Linked DNA regions of Xenopus tropicalis. The protein of the gene in region 2 purifies or fractionates together with the protein of the main gene of each other region. This does not show direct contact. Links are inferred from orthologs where the notes say so. Each region holds a gene or a part of one and is shown on either strand. Other genes may lie near its edges.

Evidence for each region.
Region 1: the proteins of dpf2 (region 2) and arid1b purify together in Homo sapiens (affinity purification with mass spectrometry; 7 studies listed by BioGRID and IntAct, counting the BioPlex papers as one, with this or other methods). This does not show direct contact. The link is inferred for Xenopus tropicalis from reciprocal best matches to the Homo sapiens genes DPF2 and ARID1B.

What each region holds. Positions count from the first base shown.
Region 1 is NC_030681.2:52,264,235-52,270,568, reverse strand, and holds part of arid1b (AT-rich interactive domain-containing protein 1B), read right to left. Parts: intron 4,396-6,334; coding exon 4,213-4,395; intron 2,577-4,212; coding exon 2,258-2,576; intron 1-2,257. UniProt on the Homo sapiens protein: Involved in transcriptional activation and repression of select genes by chromatin remodeling (alteration of DNA-nucleosome topology).
Region 2 is NC_030680.2:32,337,222-32,343,555, forward strand, and holds part of dpf2 (zinc finger protein ubi-d4), read right to left. Parts: intron 3,815-6,334; coding exon 3,654-3,814; intron 2,694-3,653; coding exon 2,586-2,693; intron 1,704-2,585; coding exon 1,543-1,703; coding exon of another isoform or gene 1,492-1,542; intron 412-1,491; coding exon 319-411; intron 1-318. UniProt on the Homo sapiens protein: Plays an active role in transcriptional regulation by binding modified histones H3 and H4. Is a negative regulator of myeloid differentiation of hematopoietic progenitor cells. Might also have a role in the development and maturation of lymphoid cells.

The DNA of each region.
Region 1 (6,334 bases), on a different chromosome or scaffold from region 2:
ATACAGCTATGGAAAGGCATATTCTACATTTCCAAGTTACATAACTAATTAAAATAATGCCCAGTAAAATAATAAAAGTGTGCTGCATCTGCTATTGTCACCTTTTCGTTGTTCATGTTTCAGACAGATGTACCCCGCAGCCCTGTAATTTATGCCTTAGTATCAACATCCATGCTTACACAGGGTAGATTTATAGCAAACACACACAGACCCCATGGGGATACCAAGGTGCACTGCTTATAAATATACAGTTAATTTAGTCATTGAAGCCTGAAGCTACACTATTCTTTTACTTACTATTTTACATTATTGGATACAATTCGCCTACAACATAAGCATGTGACCGTTTTCTTGCACTAAATATTAGTCTCATCGGCAGAAACTGAATTGTTTATATATATATTCAATGTAATGTCCTAATTTTCCACATTGAGTCTCATGAAGACCTCATTCTAGGACTGTTACAGATCCTGCTTTCCAGCACAGTGGGAGAGTTGCTCACTAAGGCATTTAGAGGTAAACTATTTGTAAGTACAAGTTACCTTTCTGTTTTTCTGGAAATTAATAAAAGAAATCAATTAGGGGTCTGCCAGCTAATTCAAAAGTATATATATGAAAGAGAACTGCCATATCACTTCCCATAATAGGGCAAATTTGCCCATTGTTGATAAAAGAATACCATAAATATAACATCATGTTTTGAGGCATAAGAGGATGCTGCTAAGGGAATGCTTAGAGGCTGGCACCAGCGTGGTTGCATAATAGATTACCTTTTTGGCAACACATGTTGTGAGCTGAAGGGTTGATACAGGATCCATGCCAGGCCTTTGGCAGTCACCTGAATGACTGGATCAGGCAGTAAAGTCAGTAAATATGCTCAGCTGATATGTAATTACACTCCCCCTTCAATCTTCATCTGAGCATATTTACCAGCATATTTAGTTGGAATCACCTTAGCAGACAGGCAGAAAAATCAGAATGAAAACTAGTTTAAGTCAAACTGATAAAAGTGTCTAATTTTATCAGTATTTGTGCCCAGCTTTATATAAAGGAAATAATATTTCAGCTCTCACTCATTTGTATACGTGTAGATACAATATACATATACTATGCACTAATGACGTAAACATAGCAGTATCCTGGTAGAAAATATAGATTATATAAACTGTAAAGCACAGACCAGCTAGTTTGCTGAAACTACCTAATACTGACTGTCAAAAAACATACGTTTATGTGGATTCAAAAGCTAAAGGACCTAAAATGGAAATTTTTGTTTGTACATGAAGTCATTTGTATATAACTATACATTGTTCCCTTATTGCAAACACCAAGGATGCCACCTAAACGGCTAGTATATTCAAGGACCAAGGCTTCCTAAAAGAGGTCAGTAAAAGAGGTGCAGGTTGGGTAGGGTCACCATTGCACAGTACTGTATGTGGCGTTACCACAGCCCTCCCCCTCCCTGACATCATCTTTTATATCAGGTGAAGAGATAGGGGTTGGGCCTTTAAGCTCCTTGCCCAACCTCAGGGCAAGTCAGCCGATGGTTAAGAAGCGCAGGGGTTAGGGTAACTGTTTTAAAGTAAGCATATTTATATGACAGTAATACCAAGTGTAAATTCTGGCATAAAAGCAGCCAGCAGTTAAAATTCTACATTAATTGATGCATTCAGCTACATCACTTATTGTGCCAAAATCTTCCAAAATGTTTTCTATTGACTTGAAATGGTGATGCCAGCTTTGAAGGACCGTAAAATAATGGTACTATTTATGGAATTCAAACCAGGTAGGAACATTTAAATAATAATCTGTTATTGTATAAAAGCATGCACATTTTTGCTAGTAGTGATCTATATCATGTGTCTATCATAGATTATAGCTGGTGACCAATGGCAACTGTTATTAACTATAACCAGCGAGTGACCACAATTAAATGATTGTATTGACTACTGCATTCCTGTATGTATTATGTCATTTTTTGTAGGCACTTTCTAGTTACCAATGCCTAGGTTTATTCCCTTGTATATATGTTGTGCTATTTGTGGGGACAGTGACAAGTTTTTCCCCTTTCGTTTCTGAGCTATTTTTAATTCATTTTTAAGGTGCTCTGCATTAATGTAAATTTTTGGTAACTTGCTTGCTTAGTTGATAACAAAAATATATGAGAGTGTCACACTCTACAACTATTCTTATTGGATTGGTTACAAGACACTTCTTATTACTCAGTGCTATTTAATATACTATCAATGAAACAAACCTGTTTTGGGCAGAATTTGCGGCAGCCTGCATCACAGCCGCAGCCGCTTCCTGTGCCTTACGATTCACAGTTGGCATTGGTGGTCCCATTCCTGGAGTTCCTTGCTGCGACATGCTGGAAGAGTTGGGGGGCAAGTTACCCATATTCGTGGCATATGTCCTGTTCTGCATTGCATTCCCAGGCATCCTGCCCATACTCATAGATCCACTTGGCCCTTGTCCATGTATCTGGCTGTTGGCATTCATATTGATGCCTGGGCCAGGACCACTGTAGCTTGTGTTTTGGACTCCAGTGTAAGATGGTGACCTTGAATAATTGCCTTTAATACAAAAAAAAAACAAAAAACCTATAAATAATTTCACTGCAAATGACTGGCTGGCATTTATGTCACTGGCAAAGATCTAAACTCAAGAAGCAAACAACAAGAAACTGGGCCTTAAAAGTACTTTTAGTTTGAAAAAAATGTGGGGCCTACTGACAACTTAATTTATTCCTTTTAAAACTAAACTAAACTAAACTATGGCTCTGCATTGCCAAATGCTATCTGAGGTTGTCTGGTAATGCAATTTTCCATGGTGTTAATAAGTCAGCTGTAATATGAAATAGGCTTATCCCCATCCTTTTTTTCCATTTGTGAGGAGCACCTCAGAAAAAATCCTGAAATTAAAAATGTGGTTATTGTTGAATTAGAAAAAAAAAGAACATAGCATATGAAAACGGAATGCAGGAGCTGCAGCCTGTAGACAATTCCACCTTTAGTGAAGAGGTTAAAATAAAAAAAAAAAAAATATATATATATATATAACACAAAGCTTTTCAAGAAAAAGCTTCAGGGCACAAGTAGCCTACATTCATTTCTGCTCATAAGTTACTACTGAAGTTAGCTAGACCACCCAAGGCAAAATGCGCGACTTCTAATCAAAGCTGTCAGTTTTATTCCACCCAGTTCATTTTGCTATTAAAAGAAAGGGAAATCCAGTGTGTTATTTTCAAAGGAGCAGTGCCTATTGTTATATATGACTGCTATTTAGTCAGTTCAAATGATCACAATCACTGCAGAAGACACAGAGAAATGTATTGTTGTAGGTTTTAGCAGTTTGTTGTAACAAGAACTAAACAACTGCAATAATTAATCAGATGGTAAATTGTTCCAAACTTGTAGGAGCAATAGATGAGTGGAGCAAGATTGCAGTGATTAAAATCAGCACTTAGAAGCCCCACTGATTTTAGGATCGCACATCTGCTAAAAGATGGTGTAAGGTAGTAAAAAAAGTAGTTCCAGCTTTTACTCTCCAGACAACTGCTGCCTAGCAAAAAGATGGGGAACTTCTGTCTGGGGGGCAGCCCCTGTAAGCTGACCCTGTCATTAACAGCAGATGTCAATGTGAGTATGATTTATACCACAATACTCTTACTCTCAACCCAAGATGACTTCAGATTCCAGTGTCTGCTTACAGGACTAGCCCAAAGTTGACAAAATATGGGATCTGAAGTTACTCCAACTTTGAAAGACTTCTTATAGCAATTAATGGAACTTTGCCATATCCATATCTGTTGAATTATATTCATATTTTATTACAGGGCTGCAAAAGTGTGCTTTCCCCCTATTACTCAATGCTACTATCAGCCTGCCTTTGTTAAGGAAATTTTAATTTATATATCAGTAAACCTAAAACGAAACCTTCTACCATTAAACCTAAACTAATATAATTTATGCATATCACAGATTAATCATTAATTGTTTTAAAGAAACAGGACCTGAGGTTGTTTCAAATGTACCTTTTCAGCTAAGCACTTGAGTCACCTATAGAATGAGTAAGTCTGGTTTCTTGCCTTAAAGATTAAAGTAGTTTGAACATAATAAAAATATATATTCTAATATAAACTAAACTTATTACCCATTTATTACACTTTGTCATTGAGCATCAATGTTAAATCTGACATTTACACCTTACCCTGTGGTCCATATTGACCCATCTGAGACCCATAGCTGCCACTTGAGTTGCTCTGGGGAAAGCTGCCCATACCAGGATGCATTTGGCCTCCAGGAGGAGGAGGATGAGGCGACATCGGTGGGCCAGTATGCTGAGGTCCATACTGCGGTATTTGATTGTTCCTTTGCACAGCAGATATAAAGCCTAAAATATAGTCATTAGATATCATAAATATGCATGTTAAATACATCTACATTTTCTCGAACATTTGTCACCACATGTGTTTATAAATCAAGTCTACCACAAACTGGATCCTAGAAACATTTAAACAGTGCAGTAAATCTACAAGGACAACAGAATTACATACTGTTTGATATGACCATCTGTATTTACCAACAATTTTATCTGAATGGATGGGGTAGCGAACTATGACAGTTTTTACTTTGGAATCTGCTTGTGGCTTTTTCATGCACCAAGTAGAAGCATGACCACATACTTCATAGACCAACTGCAAACCAATGGTACAAGAGTATTTGCCTCCCAAAGGAGCCATTCACTTAACAATGGTTTGGCCCTATGACCACAATCAGCCAAACCAAATTGATGCATGTGGAGTGCAGCCAGGCCTGGTCACTAAGACCAGCAGACCCAATGACAGATTGATCTCTACACTAAAAGGCTGAATTTCCAGTTAAAAAACAAAACAAATTACAGTTTCAGTGCAGTAAAATGACAACTGAGGTAAGTATCTCTTTCTAACTTGCCTCATGGAATCAATGGCACAGAAGAAACAAATTTGCCCTGAGTAGTACCAGGTGTTAAGATTAGGGAGCACATGCCAAAAATAGCAGCAGTGCATCAATCAATCAATCAGAAATCAGTCTTCCTCCAGCAAGTGCAAATAAGACAAAGAAAGGTAATGTATGATTGTTTTCTAAGTATTCTGAATGTAATTTAAAACCTGTTAAATAAATCCTCTATACCTCATTTATATAAAGTATACTGCTATATCTGGCAGGTTAACAGTTTGTTATTGTAACATTTTCAGTGTAGGTCTACTGAAATATTTATGCTTTCCAGCAGGACAAGTACACTTCTCTCTTGATTTAACAGTATTTTATCACTATATGACATCTCCCAATCATATAGTTTCTGCATTTAATTATGGTCTCACCCCTCTACAAAAGTGTCCGGATCTGTTCCTTAATACACTGACATCCAGTCATTTCAATGGCACCAGATATATTGGAAACAGCTTAAGAACTCTGAACAGATCTGAATGTTTTTGTGTTCGGTGACTTTACTGGGGTCTGACTTCACTAGTAACAATAACAAACAGGGACAAGTCTTAAGATATCTAAGAAAGTGCAAAAGGAAAAGCAATTCTCCCTTTGCTACTTCAAGCAGAAACAGAATGTAAACCAAATAATAAAGTAAATGGCAATGCACACCACACTGGCATCTACTTTATTATTTGCTTCAGTAGGAACAATCTCCAATTTGCACTGTGTGGTACTTTGCAGTCTCCTGCAGTTTGATAAGTTTGGCTGAATTAGCACATAAGCGGTGGCTCCTGTTGTTTTTATTGGATGGAAAGGCCCACTCATGTTAACTAATACAGATTCATGATGATAGCTTGTTGATTCTTTGAACTGCAAAACCTTGAACACTGCCTCTAAATAATTTCCCCTGTTTTCACTGGTCTACAACCCAGATAAAAGCCCTACACTTCCCTTATATCCTAAATGGCTATATGACTAAATGTATGCATGTTTATGTGTGTATATGTATATATGCATGTGTATAAGCTTTTGTAAATATATACATGTATGAATATATGTGTCTATGCATAAATGTGTATTTATGCATGTGTGTCATATAACTTAGGATGAAATATTAAATGAAAAGCGCACAGAACTTCTACTGTTTTTAATTTTAGACCTGGCAACCAACTAAGTAATATTCAGGAGAATGTAATTGCTTGGCAGGCTTTACACAAGTAACACTGTCAGATTCAGAGCCTGAGTAACATAACAATGAATACAAAGCTTCTGTTTATGAACAAAATTATACATTCTTCTGCTTTTTGCAATCAAAATGAGAGATTTTTAATCTATTTTCTTTGAATGACATTTATAATGAA
Region 2 (6,334 bases):
GCTCCCCCTCTAAACTCAGGGACCCTGTGGTGTGACATTACTTTAACATCAGGCTTTGCTTAGATTAAATAATGCTAAAAATAAAATTGAGCCAAATCCTGAATTTGGTAAGTGCTAATTGACATCCCTTATTTCTATAGGCCCAAAACAGAAAGGACATTGAGAAAGTTTTCTTTATAACCTTTGGCTGGATACAGAAGCTCTGCTACTTAATTGCCATTTAATACATGATCATCCTGCCTTCATAGCAAGAAGAAAACTAGTCTCCAATGACTGGGTCTGAAAAAAACACATTATTATTATATTATTCTATTTCACCTTGGCTTTGCCTTTTCCACGTCTTTTTGGCGTGTCCTCTTCATAATCCTCATCATCCAAGTCATCTAAGAAATCATCAGGCTCCAAGATACGCTAGGGGAATAAAAGGATACAGTTAATGTAAAGAAAGGCAAGTCACAGATTGTGGTTAATTATCCTACTTCTTCTAACCTGAAAAACACTGCAAAAAATACCATATCCTGTATACATTTAAATGGAAGCAGCTTGCCATGTCTAAGCATTTTGACCTATGTCACCGGCATTTTGACCACTGCAGTGCCTTAGCATCTGCTGGAGAACTGCAAGGGTCGATATCCAAAAATCAGCCATCACCACTTTTTCCATAGCGACACATGTTAAACATTCCACCTATAGCAGACAGAGATGGTTACAGAAGACCATGCTCAGAAATGCTGAAGTTAGATTTATCCTGGTTGTTAAATTTTAAGCATTTTGACCACCAGAGTGCATTGGTGGTCAAAATACCCCATGTGACATAGGTGTTACAAGGATAATATAGTAAAGATTAAGCATTACACCCTTTGTGCAAAAACTTCTAAACTAGGCACCGTGATTAATAAAGCTACCAACAGCTACTAAGCATGCATCAGTGACTAAATGCCCAAGCGGCTTAGAATCTAAAAGCCTATGATATTAGAAATGGCAACCATTTGTCAAGGTTCATGATACAGTTCTGTCAAACAAATACTTTTCCAGTATGATTTTAGTCATCTATCACTTTACTTGGCCTAGTTATGTCACAAGCAAGCAACTAAAATAAATTACCAATAATCTAATATCACAGGAAAATGTCACACAGTATATATTTAAAAGAGAAAATTATTATTACAACCCTTTCTGTAAGTCTAAAACTTCAGGTGATTATTTACGGAATACTCCTTCCTGCTCTACTTCGTAGCAAGTTGTATTGTGACCTTTTGTGGGGAGGTTTTCACATAGGATATGTTTACAGCAGTGCAATGAGCATTAGTAAAGGATCATTTAGTAAGTAAAAATCAGCAAACAAGAAAGACTAGTTTATGCAAGCAGAATGAAAATTATTCATATGCTGTTTTCCTCCCAAACAGGCAACTCACAGAAACTGATATAGCGAACATTAGACTAATGCTGCTGTCTATTCCCCCAGGCTTCATGCTGCCTCGCTGTCTTTACCGTGATTATCCCTTTTGCTACGTAGCGCTGCCGCTCGCCGTAGGCCTGTACCTTCCGTGCGCTTCTGGAAAGAGGAGGGAACTCCGTAAGGCTGTCATCATCCCGGGGGTCTGGCATAATTCTCTTCTCAATGGGGTCTGAACGCAGAAGAGCTTCAAGGCTACTGCCATCTGGTGGTATTAAGCCCTCTTTCTTTAACATCTGTTCGGGGTCTGAAATGCACAATAACCTTAAGTTTTGATAAAGATATATTCTTTTTTCCATTGGATTCCTCTAAATTACCAAAAATCAATGGACATTGTTTATCATGCACATTCAACATTTTTTAATAGTGCATCCATTGTCGAGGTAAAGTGAAAATAGTCTAATAAATGTTCTGCTATTCTAAAAAGAAATTGTATTTGCTCTAAATATATCTTACACATCGGAAGACTGTTGGTTTTCTTACTAAAAATTACCACAAATCTAAAGTCTGCAAAATATAATAATGCCTTTTTTATTGCCTAACATTTTCAATGTAAGGGGAAAAAACAAAGGTTTGACCTGCCAATTGTTTTACAGACACCTCTTTCATATATCTCATGAAAGATTAGGTATACAAATATTTGTTCCAAAATGTTCATCACGATTATATCAAAACATGAAAATAAAATGAAATTCCCATTAAGCCATGAAACAAGGCCCTACTGCTACTTGACAAGAACCAAAGAACTATACTGATTTTCTATGTCCTCTAGCACAGTCAATTAATATTCTGCAGGTTTAGCTATGTAAAGCAAACAAGGCTAAACTTGGACTTGGTAAATATTGTAACACGTGATTACTGTTGAAATTTGCACTGAATAATTGAAAATATTGGTGTGGAAGAAGTGTGCTGTTTCGCTTTGTTTTAAGCCAACAAGGCTATGACTAACAAAATGAACTGTAACTATATTCCAGGCTGGCCCTGTGTTGCTATTCTCAACAAATGCCTTTTTTGCTTTGTGTATGGAAAGTGTATTTACAAGACAAAAAGAAAAAAAAACTCACTAGCCCTTAAGTGCAGTGTTTTGATTTCAGTGATGTTGGGCTCAGAAAAGCCTGCCCCCTTTTACCTGGTTTGAGAGATGGGAAAGAGAGCCTGGGATCTTCAGGGGGATGTGCCCTTCTCTTTTTGCGCCAGCGTCGAGATGGATATGTATAAAGTTGCCCTGGTGCAGAACCTTAAAAACCAAAATAAAATAATTTACCAAAACATAGGTAATGCTTTTTTGGGGGGGAGGGGAGGAATAAAAAAAACGCAATCATTTAGTAAAGCCTCAGTAAATTACCAATAATCAAAATCAGCATATCTTTAACCCTTTTCTGTAAAGACATCTGATAGAGGATTTATACAGAATGTATGGGATAAAACTTCCTTTTGCAGTTGTGTTTCTATACAAAAAGTAGGCTTCTTTCTTCCTTTTCTGTATCCCTCCCCTAAAATTAAACTTAAAGATGGGCACAAACTAAGATGACATTGTGCCCAACTCATGAACATGCTCTTTCCTTACTGATGACACAGCCAGTACTTCCAGTACTTCAATTTTTAATTAAGGGCCTTAGTAACTAAGGGACAGAAGGTTTGAAACCTGGTGCCTGCAGAATAGATACTTAAATTAATGTCCAAGCATAAAAAGCAACGTTTGGAGTAGGTTTCCGAAGAATGCCCTGAAATCTAAAATGCTAAATCCTGGCAAGGGTAAGAAATTACCTGGGCATAGATAATAAACTTCAAAATATTCCATATATTTCTGTGGTATTAGTATGGTTTGATAACACAAGTACATTTTCAGTAGCACATAATCTGTTATACCTTTGAGGGCTGAGCACTTTCAAGTCTAAACCATATACACATTAAGACCCTTGAAAAACTTTTCTTGTGAATTGCAAGGATTCTAGGTCCTCAGTACATTCATGGTCATCATTTAAGTTTCAGCTCTGCGAAAAGTGTCACAGTTATTATTTTAAATCAAGGCCATCTGCTTGAGTTTGTTGCAAGCATAATTAACAGGGGCTTGCAACTTCTGTCAATTCTTAAACACATGGGAATGTACAAAAGGGATCTTGCAGCACTATGCTATGCAGGGCCAGCAACAGACAGGTTAAGAAGCTATACAATCTTACAGGACATAATATTTTACCTGGCCCACGATGTCTCTTCTCCATCCAAATGTAGCAATTGCTTTGAGCCACCCCTGTTTGAGAGTCTAAGAAAGGCATTCGGACACTGCGCTCAGCGCACAGGCGAGCATTATAATTGTGGCACTGCTCCATGGCATCCTTGTAATACTGTTCTCCAAGGCTAGAAGAAAAAATATATATATTTGTAAAGTTATGGGATGTGAGCAAATTGCTTCACTCGCTTTAAACTGGAAGCCTGTGTGGTGGTTGTGCTGAAATTATCAATGGAAAACTATTTCATCAGAATTAATTTTTAACAGATAACGCATATCAAAATAAAAGAGCTCTGTCCATTCACTAGATATATATGTGGGCCCATCATTTCTGTGTGAGCACAGTGAAGGTGGCCAAACAATCAAATTATTATATATGTATATGGGCCGTCGGATTAACAAGCCAATGTAGTCCCCGATCTGATGGGAAACTTAAGTGACCACCTCAAGATTATGCTCTGGAGCAGTGGTCCCCAACCAATGGCTCAGAAGCAACATGTTGCTCCCAATAGCCTAAAGAAGGTGCTCATTATTGAATTATTGACCCAGAGGAAAGTTTTGATTGCATAAAAACCAGGTGTACTGGACAGTCTTCTGCAGGCTGCCAGTCCACATAGGGGCTACCAAATAATCACAGCCCTTATTTGGTACCCTCAGGTACATTATTCATTCTTGTGCTGCTCCACAACTTTTTTATCCATTTAAATGTGGCTTAAGGGCAAAAAAGGTTGGGGACCCCAGCTCTGGAAAAAGGCAATAATAATTTATAACAAAAAAAAATAAAAAATAAAGATTGTGCCAAACCAACTAACTTGTTTTGTTTAATGTAGCAGATACATTAAAAACAGTGGGGCTGCAGTAGAGCTAACTGGTCTTTGGCAAAAGGTTTTGATACAGAGCTGCATAAATGTTGGCTTTCTAAATAAATGTCTTTTGGTCTTGGTGATGCTATTTTTGTAATGGATGAAGAACTGACTAAAGGATTGTGTAGTGACAGTAGCTGGCAATGGCAGATTCTAGTTAAACTAGGATTCTGTGCGCCCCAGCTTCTGCACTGGGTTTGTTTATATTTCATCTGTTCTTTACCGACACAGGTTACACTGGAAAAGAAATGCTTAATGAGAAAAACAAAATGCCAAGGCCCCCAACAGCAAACTCCATTAATGAAGTTTCATGAATTATTACACCTGCTTGGAAGATACCATCCGTCTTCATTTTTGCAATTCTAAGCTGTACAAAATGCAATCAGTACAGTCCTTCCAGCTAGCCTGCCCACAGGATTAGGTTGAAAAACTGTAGTAATGTAGGGCAGCGTTTTTCAACCGCCCCCGGTCCCCTCTGGGACACCTTCCACTTCCTGGCTCCCTGATGCCCGGAAATCGTCACTCCGGCATCGGATCCAGGAGGGCGGAGCAACCAGAGAGGAGAGGCAGCACTATCCTGCCCTGGCACAACCCGACCGGGGGGAGCAACTGCCCAGGCCCTGCCCCGACAGACCAGATCCACCAGGGGCCAGGCCCATGCACAGCCGCCCTACTCCCCACCGGAGGACAATCCCGGGACACCCCTGTATGCCGCAGCCTGACATGTAAGAAAACAATTAATAATATATATATATATATATATATATATATATATATATATAATATAAAATTTTTGTGTGTATAAAAAAAAAAAAAAAATCAGTGGGGGGGTGGGTTTGTGGAGAAAATGTCCCGGAAAATACTTTCTTTGTGTTTGATTCCTATTCAAGAGAATTACTTTATATATAGTCAATATAGGCACAGAGTTAAATTTTTTAACATTTTCTAATGGTGGTGTGCCTCGTGATTTTTTTCATGAAACAAATGTGCCTTTGCCCAAAAAAGGTTGAAAAACACTGATGTAGGGACCAGGTTTCGGATACGATCTAAACCACTACAGGTTAAATATGTAATAATGATGGCTTGAATACTGGCCATAAAGAATTGCTACATTGTGAGATAAATATAACTTACCCTTTTGATTGCACTTTATTGCTGGATAAAAGCATTATCTAAAGAACTAGCCACAGTGAGTTCTCTACACCTATAAACCTGCTGCACCATCCTACAAATAGCATATGATGGATCAGAGAAGCCTTCAACTAGGCCTGGGTTCCTCAACTATGGGTGTATTTGGCAGAAACTTGTCATACTGGCCAAGTCACCCTTAAGCAGCCAGTTTACAATCCTAAATTAAATATAGCACTATAGTAAAACATCGTAATGAGATGTATCACTTTCACCTATTTACAATTAATACTAAGCAAGCTTAACTTATCTGTGTTCACATTAATATCTGCATGGCAAGCAGTTAGAGAACAATTTGTCTGGAACAAATTGAAAATGTTACATTGTACATCTTGCACAAAGTACATTTGTTTGATAATGGTTTACAGTAGATGTTCAGTTGTTACAAAGAGGATTTAACATGTTACAATTTGCTGCTTTAACACAGGAAGGAAGTGCAGTGATACTATTACATGGCTGTGGGCCAGACCAGCTCTGCTCTGGTGTATGGGGTTGTGCCATCAATGTGTAACACTATACTCTTAGGGCTGGGCGATATACCGTTTAATACCGAATACCGGTGTTTTTTTTTTTTTTTTAAAACTATATTCATTTTTC